Linked DNA regions of Oryctolagus cuniculus. The protein of the gene in region 2 interacts with the protein of the main gene of each other region in a biochemical or structural test. Links are inferred from orthologs where the notes say so. Each region holds a gene or a part of one and is shown on either strand. Other genes may lie near its edges. The genes, in order: GRB2, INPP5D, CD244 and SHC1.

What was found.
Region 1: the proteins of INPP5D (region 2) and GRB2 interact in a test that uses a peptide from one of them, tested with the Homo sapiens proteins (2 studies listed by BioGRID). The link is inferred for Oryctolagus cuniculus from reciprocal best matches to the Homo sapiens genes INPP5D and GRB2.
Region 3: the proteins of INPP5D (region 2) and CD244 interact in a biophysical measurement, tested with the Homo sapiens proteins (2 studies listed by IntAct). The link is inferred for Oryctolagus cuniculus from reciprocal best matches to the Homo sapiens genes INPP5D and CD244.
Region 4: the proteins of INPP5D (region 2) and SHC1 form a complex in vitro, tested with the Homo sapiens proteins (2 studies listed by BioGRID and IntAct, with this or other methods). The link is inferred for Oryctolagus cuniculus from reciprocal best matches to the Homo sapiens genes INPP5D and SHC1.

Annotation. Positions count from the first base shown.
Region 1 is NC_091448.1:5,146,173-5,150,399, reverse strand, and holds the start of GRB2 (growth factor receptor-bound protein 2), read right to left. Parts: upstream 2,801-4,227; 5' UTR 2,630-2,800; intron 1-2,629. UniProt on the Homo sapiens protein: Non-enzymatic adapter protein that plays a pivotal role in precisely regulated signaling cascades from cell surface receptors to cellular responses, including signaling transduction and gene expression.
Region 2 is NC_091434.1:6,371,470-6,379,013, forward strand, and holds part of INPP5D (phosphatidylinositol 3,4,5-trisphosphate 5-phosphatase 1), read right to left. Parts: intron 4,331-7,544; coding exon 4,134-4,330; intron 3,766-4,133; coding exon 3,648-3,765; intron 406-3,647; coding exon 309-405; intron 1-308. UniProt on the Homo sapiens protein: Phosphatidylinositol (PtdIns) phosphatase that specifically hydrolyzes the 5-phosphate of phosphatidylinositol-3,4,5-trisphosphate (PtdIns(3,4,5)P3) to produce PtdIns(3,4)P2, thereby negatively regulating the PI3K (phosphoinositide 3-kinase) pathways.
Region 3 is NC_091438.1:38,066,083-38,074,107, reverse strand, and holds the start of CD244 (natural killer cell receptor 2B4), read right to left. Parts: upstream 4,414-8,025; 5' UTR 4,207-4,413; coding exon 4,128-4,206; intron 1,818-4,127; exon of another isoform or gene 1,085-1,817; intron 1-1,084. UniProt on the Homo sapiens protein: Heterophilic receptor of the signaling lymphocytic activation molecule (SLAM) family; its ligand is CD48.
Region 4 is NC_091438.1:43,544,109-43,550,454, forward strand, and holds the end of SHC1 (SHC-transforming protein 1), read left to right. Parts: intron 1-73; coding exon 74-272; intron 273-348; coding exon 349-418; intron 419-522; coding exon 523-657; intron 658-820; coding exon 821-1,059; intron 1,060-1,745; coding exon 1,746-1,874; 3' UTR 1,875-3,384; downstream 3,385-6,346. Other genes in the region: PBXIP1 (pre-B-cell leukemia transcription factor-interacting protein 1), read left to right, coding at 4,078-4,180, 4,600-4,649, 5,235-5,339. UniProt on the Homo sapiens protein: Signaling adapter that couples activated growth factor receptors to signaling pathways. Participates in a signaling cascade initiated by activated KIT and KITLG/SCF.

The DNA.
Region 1 (4,227 bases), on a different chromosome or scaffold from region 2:
GCACCACAGGCGGCAGCTTTACCCACTATGTCACTGCGTGAGCCCCCAGGCTACCATTATGGGGTGCCTCATGGAGCTCTGCCAGCTTGTTTTCAAAAAACCCCCAGTGATTCTTACGCACACGAAATGTAAGAATCACTGCTATACTGTAAGGGTGCCTTAACCCTTACAGAAGATGCGTTCCAAACAATGCACAGGTCTTCGCATAAAATGAAAGCGATACACATGCACTTGGCACAACCAGGAAAAGCCAACCTTGACAAAGTTGAAAACCAGACTCTTGGTGCCCGCTCTGTGTCGGTGGGGAGTCCTCTGAATCAAGCAGATGACCACAGCGGCTGCCTGTGTCACCTCCGCTCTCCAGTCTACCACTCTCGGGTTCTGCGGAGCAGGCAGGGCTGCAGCTGCACAACAGGGACACAGCGACAGGAATCGCTCAGGGAATGCCGGGAGTCCCACAAACAAGTCGTGTTGGAAACCCGGCGGTTCTCTCAAATCCAAGTGACTCGTGGGAAAGTAAACTGACACAAGCACATAAATGCTTGTGTTTGAGACGGGTGCTGTGGGGTAGCGGGTAAAGCCGCCGCCTGCAGTGCCGGCATCCCATGTGGGCGCCGGTTCGAGTCCTGACTGCTCCACTTCTGATCCAGCTCTCAGCTATGGCCTGGGAAAGCAGAAGAAGATGGCCCAAGTCCTTGGGCCCCTGCACCCACATGGGAGACCTGGAGGAAGCTCCTGGCTCTGGATCAGCCCAGCTCCAGTCATTGCAGCCATTTGGGGAGTGACCAGAGGGTCGAAGATTGATCTCTCTCCTCTCTCTCTCTCTCTCTCTCACTTTTTTTTTTTTTTTTGACAGGCAGAGTGGACAGTGAGAGAGAGAGACAGAGAGAAAGGTCTTCCTTTGCCGTTGGTTCACCCTCCAATGGCTGCCGCGGCCGGCGCGCTGCGGCCGGCGCACCGCGCTGATCCGATGGCAGGAGCCAGGAGCCAGGTGCTTTTCCTGGTCTCCCATGGGGTGCAGGGCCCAAGCACCTGGGCCATCCTCCACTGCACTCCCTGGCCACAGCAGAGGGCTGGCCTGGAAGAGGGGCAACCGGGACAGAATCCGGCGCCCCAACCGGGACTAGAACCCGGTGTGCCGGCGCCGCTAGGCGGAGGATTAGCCTAGTGAGCCGCGGCGCCGGCATCTCTCTCTCACTCTCACTCTACCTCTGCCTTTCAAATAAATAAATAAATCCTTAAAAAAAAAAAAAAAAGCTTGTGTATACCACTTCCCCTTCCTCCCTCCAAAAAAAAAAAAATTGATTATGAGAATTAACTTTTTAAAATTTTATCTTGGGATCAGAAAACTTTTGAGCTAGGGGCACATAAAGGTATTTCTTTTCTGGGCAAAAACAACAATGAAGGCCGATTACAACAGATGAAGAAAAGAGCCCCAATCTTAAAAAGAAGTCCGATAAAGAATCAGCGCTATGAAAACGGGCAGGCTTTAACTCACCAGCGGCATAATTTCTATCCGCTTAAACCTCCCAGGCTACCTTAGTTCTATCTTAATAGGGGTCTATGGTTGATTCTCGCTTGTTAACACTCACCACCCCGGCTAAACACCAAAAAGATGGCTTATGAGCCCCCGAGTGACCCAACACGGGGAGGACAGCCGAGGCAAGCGTGGTCCTTAAAGGCGGAAAAACCGAAAACGTCAATCACACGAGCAAGCCGCGCCTGACCCAGGGGCAGTATCGATTACTTACGGATGCGCCTGGCGGTTCCCAGGGGGAGAATGGAAGCCCCCACGGCTCTGGCCGGAGGACCACAGGGCGCGCTCAGAGCACGGGAACGGAGCAGCAGGGAAGGGGGGCATTCCCGGGGAAGAATCGGCGTCCCCCCCAAAGGGCAGAAACCTCACAAAATTATGCCAGCGAAGAGGAAGGGGAAGTAGATGAGGGTGGGGGCAGGGGCCAGCGATCGCACTGCCCGGGCAGCGCAGAGAAGCCCAGGGAGAGGGGAGGCCGTAGCCGACGCAAGCCCAAGTCGCAGGGGCCGAGAAAGGCCAAGGAGCCCCTCGCCGGCTTCGCGCGCCCTGGAAGTGAACGGCGCCGCGCCCGCGCCCGCGGGTCCCCGTCCCAGACCAGCCGAGCCCGGGCACGGCCGTCCGCGGGACCCTGCCCGGAGCACGCCAACCCGCCGCCGCGGCTCCCTCCGGACCAGATACCTGTTCCCCGGGCGGGCGGGCGAAGCGCCGGGCTCCGGCAGCGCACGCCCCAACCCACGCAGGGTTCCCGCACAAAATCCGGCCCCAGACGCCGGGAGCTGGCGACGCGGTTGCCGTGCGGGTCGAAGGAGCATCCGGCACCGCACCGGCACCGCACCCCGCGCCCTGCGTGCCCGTCCGCCGCGGGGCCGCACACGACGCGGGCAGGCACCGGATTTCACCAGAGAGCCCCAGGCTCTGCCCGGGTCCCGGGGCCGGAGGAGGACCGTCCCCAGGAAGGAAGCGCCCCACACGGGCAGACGGGCGCTCCCTCGCCCCGGCGCCCCGAGGGCCGTCGGCGGGCCGGGCCCGGTGCCCCCGCCGAGGAGCGGCAGGAAGAGGCACGGGCCCGCGCCGAGCGCCGCCGGCCGCACTCACCGTGGCGCAGCTGTCCGGCCCCGCGCCCGGCCCGCCCGTCCGCAGCGCCGCGAGCGGCCGCCGACCTCGCTGCTGCCCCCGGAGCGCAGCGCCCGCTCCCGCGCCGCCGCCGCCGCCGCCGCCCGGTCTCCGAAGCAGCAGAGCCGCCTCGCTTCCGCTCCTCGTCCCGGTCCCGCGAGAACTTCCCCACGCCGCCCCGCCCCGCCGCGCCCCGCCCCGCCCCCGCGAGACTTCCCCCGGCGGAAAAGGCCCAGAGCGCAAGCGCCCGGCGTCTCTCAGGTAGACCCTCTGGAGGCCAGGGCGCATGCGCAAGGCGGCCCCCAGCAGGTGGCCCCGGCGTGGCTCCGCCCCTGCGCCGTTGTAACCCTCTCGGTGCCAGAGCGGGTGGCTGACAGCTCAGCCCTAAGGAATGACATTTTACAAGCTCTGATCACTGTCCCTTCCCCTTCCACCAAGTCAAGGCAATGACGGAGCAGGGGAGAGCTTCTTCCGGCATGAAGCACTCCAAATGGAGGACCAGACCTTGAAATCTTTGCGAACCCACTCCACACTGCAGTATTAGATAAATTAGTGGATTCCTTCCCTCTTTCAAAAATTCATGGGAAATGAGTACTGTGGAAAACACAGTCCACACGCATTCAGATTTTTTGCACCCAAAATATTTTTAAAAATATGCAATTTAAATGAATTATTTGTATCTATTTTTATTTATTTGAAAGGCAGATAGACTGAGGCAGATTCTCCATCTGTTGGTTCATTCCTGCAACAACTGGAGCTGGGCCAGGCAGAAGCCAGGACCCTGGAATTCAGTCCACGTGGGTGGCAGGGACCAAGTTCTTGAACGAGCACCTGCTGCCTCCCAGTGTACACATTAGCAGGAATCTGAACTCTGGAATCGGGAGTGAAGCCAGAACTCAAACCCAAGCATTCAAGTATCTGGAATGCGGGTGTCTCAAAGGGGTTATTTTTAAAATTTATTTGAAAGGCAGAGTAACAGGCAGAGAGAGAGAGAAAATCTCCCACTGGCTGGTTCGCTCCCCAGATGACCACAACGGCCAGAGCTGTACCAATCTGAAGCCAGGAACCAGGGGCTTATTCCAGGTCTCCCACGTGGGTGCAGGGGCCCACAGACTTGGGCCATCCTCCACTGCTTCTCCAGGCCACAGCAGAGAGCTGGATCAGAAGTGGAGCAGCCGGGACTTGAACCAGTGCCCATAAGGGATGCCGGCACAGCAGGTGGTGGCTTTACCCGCTACACCACAGTGCCGACCCCTCAAAAAGGAATCTTCACCACTGCCCCAAATGCCTGCCCCTTAGTTGTCTTTTAATTCCATCCTTTCACACATTTCGAAGCGCCCTCCTATCACCGAGTAATGTGCTGGGTATAGAAATCCTGGCCATCAGGGGAGGCAGATGAGAAGCAAACACTAGGACGGGTAGAGTTATTTGGGAAAGGCCAAGGACGGTAAAAAGATAAGGGAGGAACTGCTACTCTGCCCGCTGCAGACAAGACTCTGCTGAGTCTGGGGCGAGGAGGAGTTCGCAGGCGGAGAAGCCAAAGCTGGGGCAAATCCGGCAGAGAACGGCACGGAAGAGCC
Region 2 (7,544 bases):
ACACAATTGTGGCCCGGCCCCCGTAGGCAGAAGGGACTTTGATCCACACTGATATTTCAGGAGAGCTCTTGCCCTTTAGAAGGGGGTGGCGTCTAGGTTGCGGGTGACACGCAGGAGGTGACACACAGGAGGCCCTGCTGTGCCGCGGATCCCTTTACTGAGACCACAGCGGGGACGCAAAAACCAACAGTACCTGCAGAGGGAGGAGCGGGTGGTTTCAGCATTGAGGGCTGTGGGGTCTGTCCTGGCAAATCACCCAAATACAGGCTCTGTGTGTGTGTGTGGGGGGAGGGGATGGGCTCCGTTACCTGAGCTTCTTCTCACTTCCGGAAGTCAAGTGGCTGTTGACGAACCCCAGGGAAGTCCCGTTGAACATGAATGACACCCCCACGGCTCCTTTATTCCCTAGAGGGAGGGAAAGGCAAGACCCACAGCATCACAGGGGGTGCACGCGAGTGGCAACGTCGCGCGCACCCCGTACGTGTGTACCACTGTTGGGGTCCACTGACAAGAGAGCCCCTGCACCATCGGACTAAGGAAGGGGCGTGCGATCCGAGCAGTGCTGGCTTCTTCTAAGAGGGATGTGCTGGGGGCTGGAAGGCAGCAGGAGCAGCCACGCTTACTGGGAAAAAAATCAATCAAAGAAGAATTCTTTGCTTCACATTAAAATATGAGATTTGGGGCCGGCACTGTGGCGTAGCAGGTGAAGCCGCTGCCTGCAGTGCCGGCATCCCATGGGGCGCTGGTTCAAGTCCCGCTGCTCCACTTCCAATCCAGCTCTCTACCATGGCTGGGAAAGCACTGGAAGATGGCCCAAGTTCTTGGGCCCCTGCACCCCCATGGGAACCTGGAGGAAGTTCTTGGCTTCAAATCAGCGCAGCTCTGGCCATTGCAGCCAACTGGGGAGTGAACCAGCAGATGGGAGACTTCTCTCTCTCTCTCTGCCTCTCCTTCTCTTTCTGTGTAACGCTCTTTCAAATAAATAAATAAATCTTAAAATAAAATATGAGATTCAAGTTTTGGGGTTCCCGTGTCATATTTATTGGGACACAGACACCCCTGCTTATCCAAACATTGCCCTGGCTGCTTTTCAGGCCACAGAGAATGGGAGTTGAGTGTTTGCATCAGAGACCACCTGGCCTGCACAACCTCAAATAGTCACCCTCTGGCCCTTCACCGACAAAACTTGCCAACCCTGCTGGGTGATAGCGACCCGTGCCGGAGAGTGCCCAGTACGGCAGGCACAGCCTTGTGCGGCCACCGAGCGTGGGACACGGGGCTAGTCTGAAGCTGGTACCAGAAGCCCCGGTAAGAAAACAGACTAAGATGTCTCATATTTTGTCCTACCGCATACCCACAGAAACAACATCTGGGATGTGTGAGTTCTGATGGAATCTATCGCTGAAATGAATCTCACTGCTTTCCGTTTACTTACTATGGGGCTCTGGCTCTGCCCATCGGATGTCCACTGGACAGCTCTGGATAGACGGGAACCTGAGGGACCTTGGAGGTCGCCCAGCCCCGCCTCCTCAGGACCCAGAGTGGGGATCAGTAGCCTGGGCAGATGTCAGGTGATGTGGCTCAGACACAGAACTAGGACGAGCACCCGGCTTCCTGCCTTGGGCCCTGGCCCCGGCGCCCTCCAGAGATTTCCCCCTTCTAGCTCAGGGGTCCTGACAATGTGGGTTTGAACCCCTGCCCAGGCCAGGTACAGATCCCTCCATGGCCTCAATTTCTTCATCTGTGAGTGGGGAGAACAGCCTGTGCCCTCCACCGCAGGGCTGCATGAAATCAGATCACCCCGGCCGCCGTGTGTGTCGGGTACCCCGCAAGGGCCTTAGCTGTGTGGGGCCGACGTCCTGCCAGCCGACCAGCCAGCGTTCACTCACTGAGCTCCCTGGGAGCCTCTGGGAGAGTGGAGGAGGAAGACAGGCCCTCGGGGAGAAGAGAGGGAGAGAGGAGGCAGGAGGCTGTGACCTCCGCGTCTCCGAGACTCAGCCCTGTCCCTCGCCTTCCCTGGTGCCCCTCTCCCCTCCACCACGCCCTTCTCTGCCAGCTCACTCTCAGAGCCATCTTTGCACCTGCTGGCTCACTCGCTGTCTGTTGAGTTCATGTGAGCGGGATGCCTACTGCTTGGGGACTACCCTGTACCCAGCCTGGAGCCTGGCACCCGGCTGCGTGGGGATTCCTGGGCATCTGTGCAGTGTTGGTAACGAGCTCTGCGAGGTTTTAGCAAATTGTACAGCAGGCTGGTGGGGGAGGCAGGAAACCCGGGGGGATGGAGTCGGGACAAGGGAGGCTCCTGGGCAGGGAGGGCAAGGCTCAGGCCAGAGTGGCCATGCAGGCCCTGTGCAGCCGGCAGGAAGGGAGGAGGACGGTGGGCGTGGATGTGGGCAGTTCGCGGTTTGTCACTTTTCACATCTGACAGCAGCGATCCTTCTATTTCCTGTTATCTCAGGACCGTCCTGTCCCAGACTCCAACCGCCGGAAACCGAAGTCCCCGCCCTCAGCTTCACCTGTGGCCCCGTGACAGTGCACCCACACCCACATGCACTCAGACGCTCACACGCATGTGTGCGCTCAGATACATCCATGCACACCCCTACACATACACACTCATGCACACAGGAGACACGCCAGACACACACTTGCATGCGCTCACATCACATCCACATCATCTGCACACTTGGACCCTCACCCATGTGCTTGGGCACACACTTGCACACTCATTCCCCCCTGCACACACGCCCAGAGTGCTCTCAGACACTCACAGGCACACTTGGACACTCGTGCACATGCCCACACGTGTGTACTCGGAAACTCATATGCAAAGGCTCGTATACACAGATTCATATAAACTCACATAACGACGCACACACACTCACATGATAGACTGATACACAGATTCATAGACCCAGGGTGGCACATTCACACATGGACACACAACCACAAACACATGTGCACACACACACACACTTGGACACACCTACGCACACACTCACATACTGACCTACAGACTCACATTAACGTGCACTCCTCCAAACAGGCTTGCTCACTCATCCCCACCCACACATTTACACAAGCACATGCGTGTAGACACACTCCCACACTTGCACACACACTCACATACAGGTGCGCACACTCCTGCAGTCTCCCTGCCGCTCCTCTCTCAGTTCTCTGAAGCTCACTGCTCCCTCGACCTTGACCCTGACTCTGACACCAGTGCTTCCCGCTGCAACCTGAAGAGGCCTGGGGCCTGGGGCCTGCAGCCTGCGTCTGAGACTCACGTGCCCCTGGGACACAGCCCCACCCTCACTTTCTGTGCCGCTGATGCTTCCCGCCAGCTGCACGTGGCCCACGAGGCCCTGGATAGTTACTTAGGGGCCCTTTCTGGCAGACGTCCCTGCACCCCTCTTCTAGGTTCTTGCTCCTCAGCGTGGCGCCCTGCACCTGCTTGTAGCCCCAGTGCCTCCTGGGAGCTCCACCCGAGACCTGCTGAGTCAGAACCCGCATTTCAGCCAGATCCCCAGAGCACTGGTGCAGACCCTGAGTGTGCCGAGGACCTTCAGAGACGCCCTGCGTCGCCCCGAGCGTTATCCCAGCTGCCGGGATGAAGTAGACCCCGAGCTGGGCCCCTCTGCGCTTACCCAGCGTGTTTGCGATGCCCGTCTTCACGTTGTCCGTGCAGATGTGGCTGATGCGGTTCTCATGCTCCGGCTTGGCCAGCACCACGATGCGGATGTTCCAGAGGGTGTGGATGGCGACCTGGTGGGGTGCACAGTGCTGCACTGGACGGCCAGGGTGTGGTGTCTGAACCCAGAGCACAGCCCCAGCCCAGCCCCTCGATGCCAGCACGGAGGCAGAGCATCCTAACGACGGGGACTGGGGTCCGAGTCCCCTGCAAGCCAGGCGGTGGGGAGGTGGAGTTTGCAGGAATGGCCTACGAGCCCCATTGAGTTCTGAATACAGTGATCTCTCTGGACCCAGAAGTGGGGGGACCACTGGGCTGCCAGACACCTTTAGAAGTGGAGAGCTGACAGCCTGAGGCTGCCCTGGCCTCCGAGAGCCCTCCCCCGGAGCCCCCCGGCCCGGCCCGGCCCGGCCCGGCCCGCAGGCTGGGGGCAGCTGCTCACTGTTTTAAAGGTCATGCTGGTGATTTCTTGCAGGGAGTGCCTGAGTATCTCCAGCCACTCCTTCTCCCCCAGGGGGTCCTCCTGGGTGCCGATCACGTAGATGTCGTGGGGGATGTAGTCGGCGGTGTCGTCCCGCGTCTTTCCCTGCCCCTTGGAGAGAAACCAGGACGTGATCTTCTTGGGAGGGGGTGCGTTACCTTCAACAGCAAAACCCGACACCAAGTGAGTCAGAGGCACATCCAGGGGCATCCACAACAGACAGCAGGCAAAGCACAAACCCCTCAAGCAAGCGCAGTGACAGGGAGAGCTCAGTGCCCGCAGCCCCCGGGAGGTGACTCCCACTAAGCAGACACTGTCCTACGCTTAGGGACCACAGAGCAATGGAGGCTCCCTCCTGTCCCTCAGCGGACACACACTCTATTGGGAAGGAGGCAGGTGAGCCGAGAAGCTCAGGATGGAGAGAGCAGCGGCTTCCTTGCTGGCAAAAGAAGGGCTCCCCACGGAGGGCGGAGGATGTGTAGGCGCCAGCCAGGGAGAAGGGAAGAGCGTGCAAATCCCTCTCCATTCCTGTTTAGAAGAATGGGCAAGAGCGGCTCAGGCCAGGGATGAAGGGAGGTCCACCCCTCCTTGCAAGGGCCCTGACCTCTCTCCAAAGAGATCAGCTTGGCTCGCAGGTGCTAAGAAGCCAGGAAGTGCAGTTGCCTTGACCATGGCTGAGTTCTACTCCCCAGTGAACCCACAGTGGGAGTCTGAGCTCCTTGAGGCCCCGCCCACATGTCGCAGCTCCTCCCTCACGCCTTCTGCGGGTGGGGCGCCCCCTGCTGTTGTGCAACGGGATGGCCCTGACTATGTCAAAAGAACTCACGGCTCACAGTGGAAACATGGGAAACACGTGCACCTGTGTGCAAGCACCCACAAGCGAGAGAGCTGAGGAAATCAGGGGCCAATAAGAGATGCGGGAAAGGACAGAAGGGGACATGGGCACTGGCCAGGGCTCTGTTTCAGTGCTGTTGCAGGCCCTGGGCCACCCTGGACGTGGCCGGGCTGAGGGAGGCTGGCGCCTTGTGCATCCAGGACCAGGAGCCTGCACAGGACGCTGAGCCCAAGTCCCAGGCCGCCTCCTCCCATTCTCTCCACCAGCTATGTCAGGGTCGGGAAGCGCCTGACTCTGCTTGGGACAATGGGGAGTTTTTAGACAAAGTATGTCCCATGTTGTCCACCTAAAATAACACAATGAACAGCACTCAGTGAGGTTTTCTTTTCTTTTCAATTATTTTAGATATATTCCAAGTAGTAGAATTGCTAGATCATGTGATAATTGTGCTCTTTTGTTGTTGTTTTGTTTTTAAATTTTATTTATTTATTTGAAAGGTAGAATTACAGAGAGGGAGAGAGAGAAGGAAAGAGATCTTCCATCCACTGGTTCACTCCCCAAAAGGCTGCAACAACCAGGTTGGGCCAGGCTGAAGCCAGGAGCCAGGAGCTTCTTCCAGGTCTCCCACGTGGGTGCAGGGACAAGGACTTGGGCTGTCTTCCACTGTTTTCCCAAGAGCTTTATCAGGGAACTGGATTGGAAGTGGATCAGCCAGGACTCTAACGGGTGCCCATATGGGATGCCGGCATCACAGGCGGTGGCTTTACCTGCTATGCAACAGTGCCGGTCCCGAGATTTTCAAAGGAATATTTATTTCAGAATTTCTATTGCAATGCTCTGGTATTCCCAAATACATTTTATTCTTTAGGGAGTCTCCTCTCTCTCCCCTTCTCCCTCTCTCCATCTCTCCCTCTCCCTCTCTCCCTCTCTCCCTCTCCCTGTGAAAAATTATGAGGCTATAGATTTTACAGTTTTTTATCTATGTATCTGAGAGACAGTGAGAGAGAGGGCGGGGGAGTCCTCAGCTGTGATTCCCTGCCCAGACGTCTGCGCCAGCTGGGAGAGGATGAGACTCGACCCAAGTCCCACAGGACTGGCAGGGACTCGGGGACCCGAGCCCTCACCCTGGCTCCCCAGGGTCCGCATTGGCGGAAGTGCGGGTTAGGAGCCAGAGGCGGGTGTGACCCCAGGCTCTCTGGGGGTGTCTCAGCCAAGGCTAAGAGCTGCCCGTGAGGGCACAGCACGCCGGGGCTGTCGAGACAGACTTCAGTGCTAGGTTTTTGTTCCGAGCTAGAGTGACTGCATCACTCAGACAGGAGATGAAGACAAGCGAGGCTGTGGCGTGACTGTCGCAGACAGCGTCTCGGGGAGGCGGAAGCTATCCGCTCTCTCCCTCCCTCCACAACTCTCTCAAATAAATAAACTCTTAAAAAAAAAAAAAGAAAAGCCTAGTTTATAGGTTTCTCAAAATCAAGCAATGATACACGAATATAAAGCAGAATTTAATTCTCTATGTTTAATTGACGTTTTTAAATAGTGATTAGTTTTTAATGAAGATGTACAGGCCCTGGCCTGGGGAGCAAAGATGACTGTGTTCCGTTATCGCAGCTTCTTGTGCTTTCTAGTGTCTCTACTGGGTTTTGGTTACTTAGCAAGGACCAAATCATAAAAGGGGCTTTGTTTTTGTTTGTTGAGATCTATTTGCTTTTGAAGCCTTCTCAAGGCTCATCTTGCAATTCGGGTTAAATCTGATTAAACCACTCTATTTAAATGAATGACCACATCTTCACAATGATGTGTGACCTTATTATTTTTTTAATTGTGCATTTTAAAATTTATTTTTGAATCTTATTTATCAATGCTCTAATGTATGTACATACCTTTGTGTGGCCTAAATAATATGTAATCAGTTGATACATTTTTGTAGTGTGAGGAATTAGTTATTATTTGGTATACCCTATGTGCCCATTAAAGTTCTTCCTAATTACAAAATATTTCAGATATACATATTTCACATATTTTGCCACATTTGCTCCTGATTTTTAGAGAAATAAAATGCTACTCTTTTGTACTCCTCCCTGGCACACTTCTCCTCCTGGTCCTTCTCCCGCACCCTCCCTCTCCCTTCCTGCCCCTGAACTCACCTACCATTCTGAAGCTGGTGTGTCTCCCCGCAGTCAAGAATGTATACTTCACCACAGGTGTATCCACACACAGTACGGAGCGCTTCTTTTAAAAACGTATATTCAGGGGCCAGCGCTCTGGCTTAGTGGGTTAGAGCCCTGGCCTGCAAGATTGGCATCCCATATGGGCGCCGGTTCAAGTCCTGGCTGCTCTACTTCCAATCCAGCTCCCTGCTAATGCACCTGGGAAAGCAGCAGAAGATGGCCCATATGCTCGGGCCCCTGCACCCATGGCGGACAATCCGGAAGAAGCTCCTGGCTCCTGGCTTCAGATCGACTCAGCTCTGGTTGCTGTGGTCATTTAGGGAGTGAACCAGCAGATGGAAGATCCCTCTCTTTCTCTGTTTCTACTTC
Region 3 (8,025 bases), on a different chromosome or scaffold from region 2:
GATGGACTATGGGGCCGGCGTGCGGCTCACTAGGCTAATCCTCTGCCTTGCGGCGCCGGCACACCGGGTTCTAGTCCCAGTCAGGGCACCGGATTCTGTCCCAGTTGCCCCTCTTCCAGGCCAGGATGGCCCAAGTATTTGGGCCCTGCACCCCATGGGAGACCAGGATAAGTACCTGGCTCCTGCCATCAGCAGTGCGGTGCGCCAGCCGCAGCACGCCGGCCGCGCCGGCCATTGGAGGGTGAACCAACGGCAAAAGGAAGACCTTTCTCTCTGTCTCTCTCTCTCTCTCACTGTCCACTCTGCCTGTCAAAAAAAAAAAAAAAAAAAAAAAAAACAGATGGACTATGACAGAGCGGGTATAGCAACCAAATGCCATACATGAGCCTGATTAGGACCTGGGTCAGGGGAAAAGATACCAGAACGTACATTACGGGGAAAGCTGGTCACCAGTGACTGCATGTTTGATAGTATCAGTGTTAGACTTATAACTTTGGCAATTGTACTGCAGTTATGAGAGAGAGTCCTGGCTTGTAGGACACACGGGCTAAGATATTTAGAAGTAAGGAAGCCATGGTACCTGCAACTTCTAAAATGGTTCAGCAAAAATTATTATTATTATACATTTATACACACATGTATGGGGAGAAAAATAAATGTATGTTTATATGAACGTTTATAGAGGGAAAAATTACTGCAAATGTGACAAACTGTCACTAACAGGTGGAGTGGGCATTTTGCACAATGGTTGTGATGCCACTTGGGATGCTCACATAGGAGGCTGTGGTTTCAAATCCTGCCTCTGTTTTCAGTCCAGCCTCCTGCTAATGTGCATTCCGGGAGGCAGCCGGTGATGGCCCAAGTATGCCACCTATCAGGGACATTTGAGTTCAGGCTCCTGGCTTCCACCTGGAACAGCCCAAGCTATCGTGGGCATTTGTTTAATGAACCAGTGAATAGAAAATATTCTCTCTCTCTCTCTCTCTCTCTCTCTCTCTCCCTCTCCCTTTCCCTTTCCCTCTCCCTCTCTTCTTCCATTACGTCTTCCCTTTTCAAATAAAATTAAAATTAAAAAAAAATTTTAATGCTTAAATGGGAGGAGCGCAGGGGTACCCACCCTGGTCAAAGTGCGGCTGCAAAAGCGCAGGGAGACAGCGGCTGCGGTGGGGCAGGGAAGCTGAGAGAGGCACGCGGGCAGCTCCAGGGCGCGGGCGGGCTGGTGAGAGCCGTGCAATGCTTGCACCGCACCCATGACCCAGTGCCCATGGCCAGCAAAGTGCCTCCCCAGAAGGAGCTCGGCGCGCAGCAGCACTCAGAGCTGCCAGAAGTGCTTTTCCACTTCCTCGCGAGCCTAAAGAGGCGGGAAAGTTTCCTGCTCTGCCCTCTAAACTTGCCACCTCCAATCAGATCAGCCTGGGCCCACTCCGAAGCTTCGAGAAAAGCCACCTCCTCTGTCCCCATGGTGGCTTGAAGAGTCTCACAGCAAAGCTGGTCTGGGCAGATTTGCACACCGGGGTCTTAGGCGAAAGCCGCTTTCTTTTCTGAAAAGTGGAAGCAGCGTAAGTCCGCCCTTGCTCCATGCGCCACAGGTCAAGACTCTCGCTATGACCAACTTACAGCTACGGAGTGGAAGTTTGGCGTGACATCTGGGAACAGCGAATTGGAGAAAGTGGGAAGTATTTTTTGACAAAGTTGGTGGTTAAGAAAGAAAATCATATTGAAAGTTTGTATGTAGGATTAAATTCTCCTCCTGCATGTTCTACAGCTTCCTGCATGAGATGGAGCAAGGCGAAGCCAGCGTGGAGCATTTCAGCTGATTTCTGTCCCTGTGCCCCCTCGTCGCTACCCTGGGTGACTGCTCTGAGAGGCAACCCTCCCCCCACCCCCGAAGGTCTGCTGGCTGCTTGGGAGTCCAGGTCCAAAAAGCTTGTGAAAACCAACAGGATGTAGTCCTGAAAGAGCCCTATAGATGACCTTATAAAGACGTTAAGAGAACAGCCACCTCCCATATCCCCAGGACACAGCCAGATGGTCTCAAGGCTGTCACATCCAGATTCAGGGGCGCAAATCAACTGCTACCTCACCTAGCAAAGTCCAGAGAAAAGGAATGGTCCCATGTCTCAAGATAACACAATGATCACCCCCCCAAAAAGCAAGTGCTCCTTTATGGCTAAGGAACAAGCAAGCTGTGTGAGTGCCATGTGTGCAGGTTTCATGGCCACTGTATGTCTAGTAGTGGTGCCTTGCCAGTCAGATTGTTTTTATAGTCTGAAAATTGTTTATTAATTTTAAGGATATATGTACCCACAGAAACACACCATGAAAATAGTCTGATCCTGCAGTCTCTGACATTTTCACCATCTCCTAAAGCCCTAGCAGGATGTAGATGGGAAGCTCCACCCATCAAGCTGCCATTTGTTGAATAGCAACCTTCCTACAAGCTTAATACCTACAGTGGCTTCTCTCATGTATTTGTCCAGTTGGTTTTTAATGCATCAGGTCAGTGAGCCACCTGTGTATAGATAAGTGACCCAGTCTCTGAAAAGAACTGAGACGAAACCCTGCCCCCACTTCCGGTGTTGTCCTATTGTGTTGTAATAAGACAGGACTTTCAAGACTATTTTAACTTGTGTCAGTTCAGGCCGGCCACGTTTATGAAAAAGGTTCTGAAGAAAAAGAGAATTTTAAATGGTAATTGTTGAATAAACATAAGCGAAGGAAACACAAGGTTCCTTTGCACTATTCTTTCAGCTTCTCAGGAACTTTGCAATCCAGTCCAACTATGAAGTTTACAAATGAAAGCAAGCAGAGCAACTCCAGGTGCTCACATTAGGCCAGCTCCACAGACACGGAATATGGAAGGAGGAGAGGAGAGCTGACGACATGTGCCCTGTTCCCTCACTCCAGGAATCACTTACGGTTGCACTGTGCTACAGATCTGCCACCACCATGCAGAGACGGTGTTGTACCCCTGGACATGGTGGGGAAGAAGGACATGCCATGCCCCTATCACACAGCCTCGTCCCTTCTGTCACTCTTGCCCCTGAACCCCCAAACTCATCAGTCCTCTCTCAACTGACTGAGGTGCTTTTTAAGCTCCTTAGACCAAATCCCAACCAGGGCTGTTGAGTCCCACTTGCCCACCCACGGAGCCCTGGGGCTCCAAGCATCCCTCCCTGCTCATGGTTCTTCACCATGCTATTCCCAAAGCTGTCTGTATTCCTCACAAATGCTGAATCCACACAAGCTTAGACTATGTCTTCCTGGAGGATGTGAGTCCTCAGGGGCTCATGATGAACCGGGACCTGGGGCTGGGACTTTAATGCACAAGTTTCTGGACAAACACCATCCTCCGTCTCACTTTCCCCCTCTGTACCCACCCAGCCCTGCCCTTGTACCTGAGCCGCTCACCTGAAACATAAGATCAAAACTTCAGAATACCTTGGACTCCAGAGTTGGAAAAATATGGGAGCATCCTTGGACTGGATCCCCTGAGGATGCCCTGGAAGACTGCATGCCCTATTGACAGCCTTAGTTTTGCTGTGTAGCTTTCTAATACTGTGCTCTCCTACTTCCACTCCAAGCCAACATTTCCCTAATAATTCTCGGGCTCCTACAACCCCTGGGTTACAGGAAGAGCTGAGGAGCCAAAGCACTGGGCATTTGGGTATAACCCCTATCCTGGCCAGTGGCTTTGCCCCAGCACCCCTGCCCTCTTCCCACTCAGCCTTCCTGCCCAGTGGTCTACCTGCCTGTCTCTGGGCTCCAGAACCTTCCAGCTTCCTTGGGGCTGCTTTGCCACTCTCATCCCACAATTAGAGGGTGAGATTTCCTTTGTTGTTCTTACAGCAACTGGGAGGAGGTCTCCTCCCCACTTCTCAGAAGGGGAGATTGAAGACAGTGAAAAGCGATTGCTTCAGCCAAGACTGCCTGGATTGCTAATGGCAAGGGCACAGGCCATTCTCAGTTCCCCGATCCACTGTCAGAACCCACAGGAGCTGACAGCATCCCAGCTCCAGGTGACCCTACAGGTGGTCTGATGGGAGGCTCTGGGTTCTGATCTCACTGAGCTGTGGAACCCGTGGTCCATGCCAGCCCCCTCCCCCACACCAGGCTGGGGCTCTTACCTTGGCCCTGGTGCTGTTTGAAGAGCAGGAGGAAGGTCAGGGTGAGGGTGAGGACAGAGGGGTCGGGTGGCCCCAACATTCTCAAAGGATAGAGGAGTCAGGTAGCTCCTCTCCCCTGCCAGACACCCTGCTGTACACAGGCTCAACAGTCACCAGGCAGTAGCAAGGCTGTGGTAGCAAAGCGTGTCACTGCCTGTCCAGCCACAGTTTCCTCAATTTGAAGCTGCTAACATTTGCTGCAAGCTGGCAAGGTCTCTGAGAAAGCCCCAGTCCCTGGACCTGGTCTGACAGTTCCCATAGCTGATGCAAAGTTTGCATCAAGTGGGCGGGTCCTTGGGGCTCACTCTGACCCACAAAACCAGCTTCAGAATCTGATCCCTCCTGCGCTGGAGCCTAGCTGCTTCCTTCAAAGGGCAGATGCCTAAGACATTTTCCAATTCTCTCCATCCTACTAGCAATATAGAGAGACAACATGAGGAGCACACAGCCATTTTCCCACACTGGGGAGAAGGGTTGGGAGGGTTTGACTGAGAGCCAGAACCCTGTGTAGGACATAGGAAGAGAACAAAGAACTAGGAATATTTTTTTAAGATTTATTTATTTATTTGAAAGTCAGAGTTACAGAGAGGCAGAGGCAGAGAGAGAGAGAGAGAGAGAGAGAGAGAGAGAGATCTTCCATCTGTGACTGGTTCACTCCCCCAGATGACTGCAACAACAGCCGGATCTGGGCTACTCCAAGGCCAGGAGCCAGGAGTTTCTTCCCGGTCTCCCACGCAGATGCAGGGGGGCAAGGACTTGGATCATTTTCTACTGCTTTCCCAGGCCGTATAAGAGAGTTGGATTGGAGCAGCTGGGACTTGAACTGGCGCTCATATGTGGTACTATACCACAACACGAGCCCCAGAACTGGGGGTATTAGAAAAATCTAACAGGCCTGGGATTCTGTGCAAGTTGAACACCCAAGTTTTAGTACATTCAAGTTCATGTTTTTTATAAGAATTTACTTTTGCTCCAAGCTTTCTATCTGTACTGGGGGGGGGGGTATCTTCAAAATTCATGGAAAAATGCACACAATGAAAGATTATTCATGATTTATGAATTTTTGCACAAGTATGAGGTCCTTCATACTTCCATATGCTATGCTTTTTTGTACCTTCCTGGCGGTAGTTCTCTCTTCCCTTTCTGGACTTCACCCAGAAAGCATGTGCTGTCATTTCTGCTCCCGTCCCTCTGCACACGTGGAGTCCACCCTCCTGAAAGGTCAGGCAGCTCTGGACCCCTGAGGTCTCCATGAGGGGCAGGGGCAGTGACATCCCACTCCCTTTTGCTTCAAGCGCAGGGTTACTGCCTTCATACCCTAGGGTTCGTGCCTATTTCTTTCACTTTCCTCTTAGCAGCAACTATTTCAGTTCTCTTCAAGTCCACCATTCTTCTCTTTTCCCATTCTTTTATTCATTTACAATGAGCCTGTTGGAAGCAGCACAGAGGTGAGAGGCTGTAGGCCTTGGCAGTGGGGCTCTGGACAGAGCTTTGGATTTGGAGTCAAAGACCTGGGCTCGAGCTGCTGTTCAGCTGTGTAATGCTGGCCAAGGTAACTTTCTGCTCTGCAGGATCATCAATAGTTGACTTCCCTTCTTCAAGAGGTAGGTTTCAGGATCAAATGAGCAATTATTCCTGAGCCCATGTGTATAAAACTCTGTCACTATAAAACTCAAGTTGACATTGAGTCACAATTATTAGGAAGTGAGGTCTTCAGAGAAGTTACTAGTTCATGACAGCAGAGCCTTCATGGGTAGAATGATTGTCTTTATTTCAGAAAAGTCCCAGAGAGCTTGCTCATCTCTTCCACTGTGTGAAGACACAGCTGGAATTAAACACTTTGCAACCCAGCAAAGAACTCTCATCAGACCTTGACTGCCCTGGCACTCTGACCTCAGACTTCCCAGCCTACAGAACTGTGAGAAGTGAGTTTATGTAGTTCATGAGCTGCCCATTTTGTTAGAGCTATCCAATGGAGTAAGGTATCCGATATAGATAAGGTTTTGTTTATTTAGCTTTTTGAAGCTGGTCTAATGGTTATCATCTCTTCTATCATTTGTCTTCTCCGAAAGGGAAGCCCTCATCCCCAGGGAATATCCTCAGAGTTTCTCTGACAATGCTCTTGACCTTGGGAGGTTGTGCTCAAAGTATGATACAAAAAGAAAGGGTAAACTTCCTCACCTGGCAGATGGAAGAGACTATCCAAATAGCACAAATTAAGAATCTGCTTCACAATCCTAAGCTGGGAGCAGGTGTACCACTTTTGTGTCTCTGCCTTGTGGTCTTTAACAAACTCTACCACTTAATAACTGCCCTTTGTTCCCACACTGCTCTGCCTAATCGTGAGCTCTACAACATAAAGTCGTGCTCCCCTTAGTTTGGGGTTCCCAGAGCCTGGTTCCGGGCCTGTTCCTTCACAGTTGCTTAATATATTGTTGAGTGCTGAAAGAATGAGTGAGTTCCCTAGAAACGGCATTTGCATTTCCCTGAGTCACCAAGGTCCCTGCACTCCTCTCTGCCTCTCCTTCTCTCTGTGTGTAATTCTGACTTTCAAATAAATAAGTAAATATTTAAAAAAAATAATCAAGGGAAGAGGTAGACATGGCAGGATCCAGGGGATTTCCAAACAAAAGGATCATGCACAAAATTCCAGTTATCCTATTCCAACAGAGTTATACAGACAGCTCTTACTCCTCCCAGAAAAGGTATATAACAATATACATGGAGTATTGACAACTAGGGAAGCTCTCCCAAGCTTTGGTGTCCAGAATTTTGACTGGCATTTGGCTAACCACCCCACGGCTGACCTTAGTCTCTGGTTCCTTCTGATGCTATACAAACCAAATCTCCTACTATAATTCAGATTGTTACCATAGACTCTCTGGAATGGCTCAATGTCCCTGGTAAATGAAGACTTTCTAATGAGGCAACATACTCCAAAGCTTATGGATTACTTCCCAGGAGCCAAGGGCCAAGGCCAGATTTCTCTACAGGCAAAATTAACCCTTTTACTGTACACCTGAAAAGAAGAAACTATAAAAGTAGTCAAAGATGAATCCTTCAAAAAGGGCCTGATTGGTTTGACAAGTATGTTAAGCAATCTTTTAAGAATTCTAATACTAGATGCAAATGAAAAATTATTGTCTTTCTAATCATCTGAGTATTGTCAGTGTACTTCTTTGAATGAAAGCAGGTAAAAACAATTCTTTTTCTGTTTCTCTTTCTCAAAAGGGCTAAAAAACTACTCACTCTTGGGTTTTCATTCCCCAGAAGAGAATAAGCCTGTTTTAGGAGTCACTGTGCACTTACTCCTCATGTAGGATCTCTGTCCTTAACGTGCTGTACACTGAGGCTTAATGCTATAACGAGTACTCAAACAGTATATTTCACTTTGTGTTTCTATGGGGGTGCAAACGACTGAAATCTTTACTTAATGTACACTAAACTGATCTTCTGTAAAAAAAAAAAAAAAAAAAAAGAAAGAAAGAAATTATCAATTCCCAACTTGACTCTCACTGGGATTAAACATGACAATAGGTCTGATCTGATTTCATCATCATTTAAAAAAAATCATCTATTATTTTTCACTTTATGTTTTTGTGTGGGAGCAAACTGTTGAAATACTTACTTAAGGTATACTAAGCTGATCTTCTGTATATTAAGATAATCGAAAATGAATCTTGATGTGAATGGAAGGGGAGAGGGAGTGGGAAAGGGGAGGGTTGTGGGTGGGAGGGACGGTATGGGGGGGGAAGCCATTGTAACCCATGAGTCGTACTTTGGAAATTTATATTCATTAAATAAAAGATTAAAAAAAAAATAAAAAAAAATAAAGTCCATTGAGCTAAAAAAAAAAAAA
Region 4 (6,346 bases), on a different chromosome or scaffold from region 2:
TGCTGTGGGGTTCCCCTCGCCCTGCCCGGCTCTCCTGCGTACTCACACTCCTGTGCCTTCCTGTCCCTCCCAGAATGGCCGGCTTTGATGGATCAGCTTGGGATGAGGAGGAGGAAGAGCTACCCGACCATCAGTACTATAATGACTTCCCGGGGAAGGAACCCCCTTTGGGGGGCGTGGTGGACATGAGGCTCCGGGAAGGAGCTGCCCCAGGGACTGTTCGACCTGCTCCACCCAGTGCGCAGACCCCCAGCCACTTGGGAGCTACCCTGGTAAGTTGCTAGGATGGAGGTGGGCTGGGCCCAGGCTGGTTAGGACTGCTGGTCTCACCTTCCTTTATCCCTGCAGCCCGTAGGGCAGCCTGTGGGAGGAGACCCGGAAGTCCGCAAACAGATGCCACCTCAACCACCTTGCCCGGGTATGAAGGGAGGCAGAGAGAGAGGGAGCGAGTGAGCTGAGGAGGGAAGAGCCGGGGGTGCAGCAGGCAGGGCCAGGAGCACCACGGAGCATCCTTTTCCGCAGCAGGCAGAGAGCTCTTTGATGATCCCTCCTACGTCAACGTCCAAAACCTAGACAAGGCCCGGCAGGCAGGGGGAGGGGCTGGGCCCCCCAACGCGACCGCCAATGGCAGCGCACCCCGGGACCTCTTTGACATGAGTGAGTACTCCTCTCTCCTTTCTGCTTCGTCCCCGCCTTCCCACCTGGTTCCGTCTCTTCTGCCTTTCTGCTCTTTCATTCCTGGCCTCCCTTCCCTGAAGGTCTCCGTCCCGGGAGTGTGTTGTGCCAGCTGCTGCTCCTTGCTCTCTCTGTAACCCCCCAGAGCCCTTTGAAGATGCGCTTCGGGTACCTGCACCTCCCCAGTCGGTGTCCATGGCTGAGCAGCTCCAAAGGGAGCCCTGGTTCCATGGGAAGCTGAGCCGGCGGGAGGCTGAGGCGCTGCTGCAGCTCAACGGGGACTTCCTGGTGCGGGAGAGCACGACCACACCTGGCCAGTACGTGCTCACCGGCCTGCAGAGCGGGCAGCCCAAGCACCTGCTCCTGGTGGACCCCGAGGGTGTGGTGAGTGACAGAGGTGTGGACGTGGGTGGTCGGAAGTACCCTCTGGTGCAGTCGCAGCTGTCGGCCCCGCCCTCCAGCGCCCTCAGCGCTGTGCCTGAGCTGTGTTCATTACAGCCCTGGCCGGTACTCCAATCCCCAAACCTTAAGCCCCTCAGAGCCAGACGGTGCTCGTCTATTCTGTGTCCCTCCTTTGACAGATGAGGAAACCCCCGGGGAGAGGTTGTGATAGCCAGTGGTGAGGAGCCACACACGTGCAGGAGGAGCCGGGGGCCTCCCCAGGTCCCCAGACCAGTGTCCTTTCTCTTAACACTCAGTGTCTCACTGCTCCTCAAAACTTCCATTTCTCTTCTGTACAATTTCAGCCTCCTTCCCACTTTTTTTTTTTTTTTTTTTTTTTTGCACAGTGAGATACGCCAACCCTGTCCAAATCAAGAAAGGCTTCATGCTTTCTGGACTGAGGTCCCCTTGCCTTTCTGTAGTTCCTTCACCTGCCCACTCTCACAGCTGTCTCCAGCTTCTCTTTCCAGGGAAGCCTCAACCAGCCATCACCCCCCACCCCCAGCCCCACCCCCGTCTTTTTCTCTTTGCTCAGCCTTCTCGACTGTTTCATTTTCTTCAAGACTTAAGGGCCGCCGAGGTCTTGGCTCCTCACCTGAATTGACCCCCCTTCCTTCTCACTTTCCCAGGTTCGGACAAAGGATCACCGCTTTGAGAGTGTCAGCCACCTCATCAGCTACCACATGGACAATCACTTGCCCATCATCTCTGCGGGCAGCGAACTGTGTCTCCAGCAACCTGTGGAGCGGAAACTGTGATCCGTCCCCGCGTCCCCGAGCTCTCACAGAAGACGCCCCTGCCTCCCCTTCCACCCTGTTCCCTGCTCTCAGGACTTCACTCAACGAGTGTTCTGTGGGCTTGGCCTTGGGTCAGAGCTGGGAGGAGGGTGGACACTGGGTTTTGCATTCAGCTGAGGGAGAGGGTTTGAGTCAGGAGCCTGGGGTAGAATCCTGCTTCTCCCCAAACCTCACCAAAGTATTAATGTACAGAGTGGCCCCCCCATACCTGTGCCAACCTGATGCCCCCTTCCCCAGGAAGGTGGGCACTCGAGATGGAAACGTCCCCTGGTGATAGGCCCAGTGGAGCAGTCACCCTTCTGGGGAAAGGGGAACAAATCACACCTCGGGTCTACCCCTGGGCTTCAGGGAGTCACAGACCACTCTCAGCCTTCCCCCCAGCGTTTAACTTTGTGCCTTTGACCATCTCCTAGGTCTGACGATATTTAATGCAAAGAAGTTTTCGGGCCCCTGAGTTAAGGACAGGGGTGCTGACGCCGTCTTGGCTCCCAGGACCCTGTCCTCCTTGCTCAGCAGCCTCTCCAGTTTGGGTTGGGAGAACAGAAGCAGTAGTGGCAGCTGTCCCCTCTCCCTGGGGAGGTGCAACCCTTAGAGATTGCCCCAGAGCCCCCCTCCCGGCCAGGGGGGAGATGGACCCCCTCCCTTGCTCAGTGCCTCCTGGCCGGGACCCCTCTCCCCAAGGGGTCTGTATATACATTTCATACGCCCCGCCCCTCCCATGTTGCATGCATGTTATACTCTACAGCCAAAGTGTAGCTCTTCCTCCTGTATCCCGGCTCTGCCTCTCCCTTCCCAGGGTGTGAACTGGAGCCTCCTGTACAGTTCACTCTCCCAGGAGGGTTCTGTGGAGGCGGGAACAAGGGCACTGAGACTCGAAAGCATTAGACAATCCCAAATACCATCTGTCGATTTGGAACCGCGCTCATTTTTACTTTGTATGCACATATTTTATGGCTGTAGGTTTACTTTCCTAATTTTGTTCTCCATGGCTTGTTCTTGAACACAAAATGATGATGATCAACTACATCCACACATCACCTCTTTGACTTTTCCAAGCCCTCTCACCACTATTGGCATTTTCCTCACCGGGCCTGCAAAGGAACTCGGACTGGCAGCATTATTATTATTTTTACAAAAGAGACCAGAGGCAGAAACGGATTTTGAGCCAGGACTAGAACTTGGACCTCTTACCGCAGGCTGGGAGGCAGGCGTTTGGCTGGCTGTGTCGATTTCACGAAGGGGGAACTTAAAGCCCACAGGTCCCCCAGTACCTTCTACACGCGGGGCCCTGTGCTAGGCCCACTGCAGCCACAACCACAGAAGAGGCCAGTCCTGCTCTTTAGGCCTGTGGGGAAGGGAAAGCTGACAATTTTAATCCTAGCCACCACCTCCTTTCGTGTGTTTGGATGTTTTCACGGGTCTCACTTATACCAAAGGGAAATAATCTTCATTAAAATCCGTATTTCTTCTACTTCGCCTTCTTAGCCACTCTTGCAAGCCCATTGTTCGCGCGGAGCCTCCGCGGCAGGAGGGGAGGCTCCAGGTCGCCGCTGGCCCCACCTGGCCTCACTTGGGGCCCGGCGCCGCCCGCTGGGCCCTGGGCGCCGGCCGACTTAGTGCCCGGTGGGCGTGGAGACCGATTGTCCCCGGGGGATGCGGCTGCGGAGGGGCCTGGTGCAGGCGGGGCGGGGCGGGGCAGGGTCCGAGGCCAGCCGGCGGCTGCCGGTGCCTCCTGGGCACGCGCCCCTCGGCCCGCAATGGTACGGTCCGGTCGCAGGGGCTGGCGGGCGGCGTCCCGCGGTGAGCTGGGGCCGGCCGCTCCCTAGAGGGCGACGGCTGTCTCCACTAGGGCCGCCCCGTGGTCCTCTCTCCCCTCTTCCTGCGTTTTGAGGCGCCGAGTCTCCCAGTCCTTGCTTCCCCTCCCCGCCGCGCTCGGTGGTGGCGGCCGAGCGGAGTTCCGGTTCCGGTCGCTGCTGCTGCCGCGGGCGGGCGGCGAGTCTGGAGCGGGCTCGCAGTTCGTGCTCCAGCTCGGCGCCTCCCCCTCGCCGCACCTTGGGGCTGCAGCAGCTCGGGGGCCTGTGCTGCCCCGACTCCCCTTCCGGGGGATGGTGCAGCCTGAGGGCGCCTCCATCCCCCGCCGCCGCTGATCCCCGGCCCCCACTCCATGGCCGCCTCGGCGCCGCCCCCACCGGACAAGCTGGAGGGAGGTGGCGGCCCCGCACCGCCCCCTGCGCCGCCCAGCACCGGGAGGAAGCAGGGCAAGGCCGGTGAGAGTGCTGAGACGGGGCGGGGGCTGGAGAGACCTGGGACTTGGGAACCTTGGAGGGGAGGGTGGGGTTGGTCCCAAAGGCTGAGAGCGGGGAGGGCTTGAAGGGACGCTCAGGTGAAAAGGATGGGTCGGTGTAGCGCTCCGGGGTTGGGGGCAGGTGTGACAGATTGAGGACTTTCAAGGGTGTGGAGCCACGTGGAATCCAGTCAGGTGGAGTCTGATAGTGTCAACAGATAGGGTGTCTGCTTTCGAGAAAGGCATAGCTGACAGTAGGGCCCCACTCAGGACACGTTTTTCATATGACACTCCTTTGTTAGTATTCGCGAAATAAATGTGTGTTGAAGTTGACCGAGTTCTTGGAGCAGGGCTGGGAGGAGGAGGTTGGAGAAACTCGTCTGCCTTTTGCTGCTCTTCCAGGTCTGCAAATGAAGAGCCCAGAAAAGAAACGCAGGAAGTCCAATACTCAGGTGAATGTTGGCTGGTGGTGGGCGTGATTGCCAGGAGCCCCTGGCGCTGTCCGCTCTGTATTGCGTCAGGTGCAGGGAGAAGGAAGGCGGTGGGTTCTGTTTCTGGTCCTCGCCCTCAACTTCCTAACAAACGTAGGGGATAATCCTTCCCCACGAGAGCCCCTTACCCAAGAGCTGGTCGGGCAGGGTTGCAGCCTTCTTTTTCCCCCATTTTTCCTGTCCTGGCTCCTTCAAGACAGCGTAGCAGGTAACCACCTAGCGAACCTTTTCTAAGTGCCAGACGTTGTGCCGAGGGGCCTGAATGGTTTGGGGGAGCTGGGCACTGTCCTTGTATCACGGAGAGCTTTGGGGTCAGAGCTGGGACTTCAGCGTGGTCCTCCCTGTTTTTCAAAGGCGTTCCTGACTGCGCTGTTCTGCCCTGCTCCCTCTGTTTCTATGTTGCATTCTGAGGTCCGTCTTGGTCTTGGCACTGGCTGGCCGGTGTCTGCCTCCAGAACGCTGCGGCGTCTGTGGTGTTCTGCCCACGTGTGTTTGGCTCCGTGTCAGGCCCCTGTGACCCTCTTTCCCTCATCTGTTCCTCCCTAGGGCCCTGCATACTCACATCTGACGGAGTTTGCGCCACCCCCAACTCCCATGGTGGATCACCTGGTTGCATCCAACCCTTTTGAGGATGACTTCGGGGCCCCTAAGGTGGGGGCCACAGCCCCTCCGTTCCTTGGCAGTCCTGTGCCCTTTGGAGGCTTCCGCGTACAGGGGGCCATGGCGGGCCAGGTACCCCCAGGCTACGGCACTGGAGGTGGAGGGGGTCCCCAGCCACTTCGGCGACAGCCTCCCCCTTTCCCTCCCAACCCTATGGGCCCTGCTTTCAACATGCCCCCCCAGGGCCCTGGTTACCCACCACCAGGCAACATGAACTTTCCCAGCCAACCCTTCAGCCAGCCTCTGGGTCAAAACTTCAGCCCTCCTGGTGGGCAGATGATGCCAGGCCCCGTGGGGGGATTTGGCCCCATGATCTCGCCCACCATGGGACAGCCTCCCAGAGGGGAGCTGGGTCCTCCTTCCCTCCCGCAACGCTTTGCCCAGCCAGGGGCGCCTTTTGGCCCTTCTCCGCTCCAGAGACCAGGTCAGGGACTCCCTAGCCTGCCCCCCAACACAAGTCCCTTCCCTGGCCCGGACCCTGGTTTTCCTGGATCTGGTGGTGAGGACGGGGGGAAGCCCTTGAATCCACCTGCTCCCACTGCTTTTCCCCAGGAGCCCCACTCGGGCTCCCCTGCTGCTGCTGTCAACGGGAATCAGCCCAGCTTCCCACCAAACAGCAGCGGCCGGGGTGGGGGTACTCCAGATGCTAACAGCCTGGCACCCCCTGGCAAGGCAGGTGGGGGCTCAGGGCCCCAGCCTGCCCCAGGCCTGGTATACCCGTGTGGTGCCTGTCGGAGCGAGGTGAACGACGACCAAGATGCCATTCTGTGTGAGGCGTCCTGCCAGAAGTGGTTCCACCGCGAGTGCACGGGCATGACTGAGAGCGCCTACGGGCTGCTGACCACTGAGGCCTCTGCCGTCTGGGCCTGCGATCTCTGCCTCAAGACCAAGGAGATCCAGTCTGTCTACATCCGCGAGGGCATGGGGCAGCTGGTGGCTGCTAACGATGGGTGACTGCCCGGTGGTCTGGGGAAGTGCACACGTCCCTCCCTGCTCTT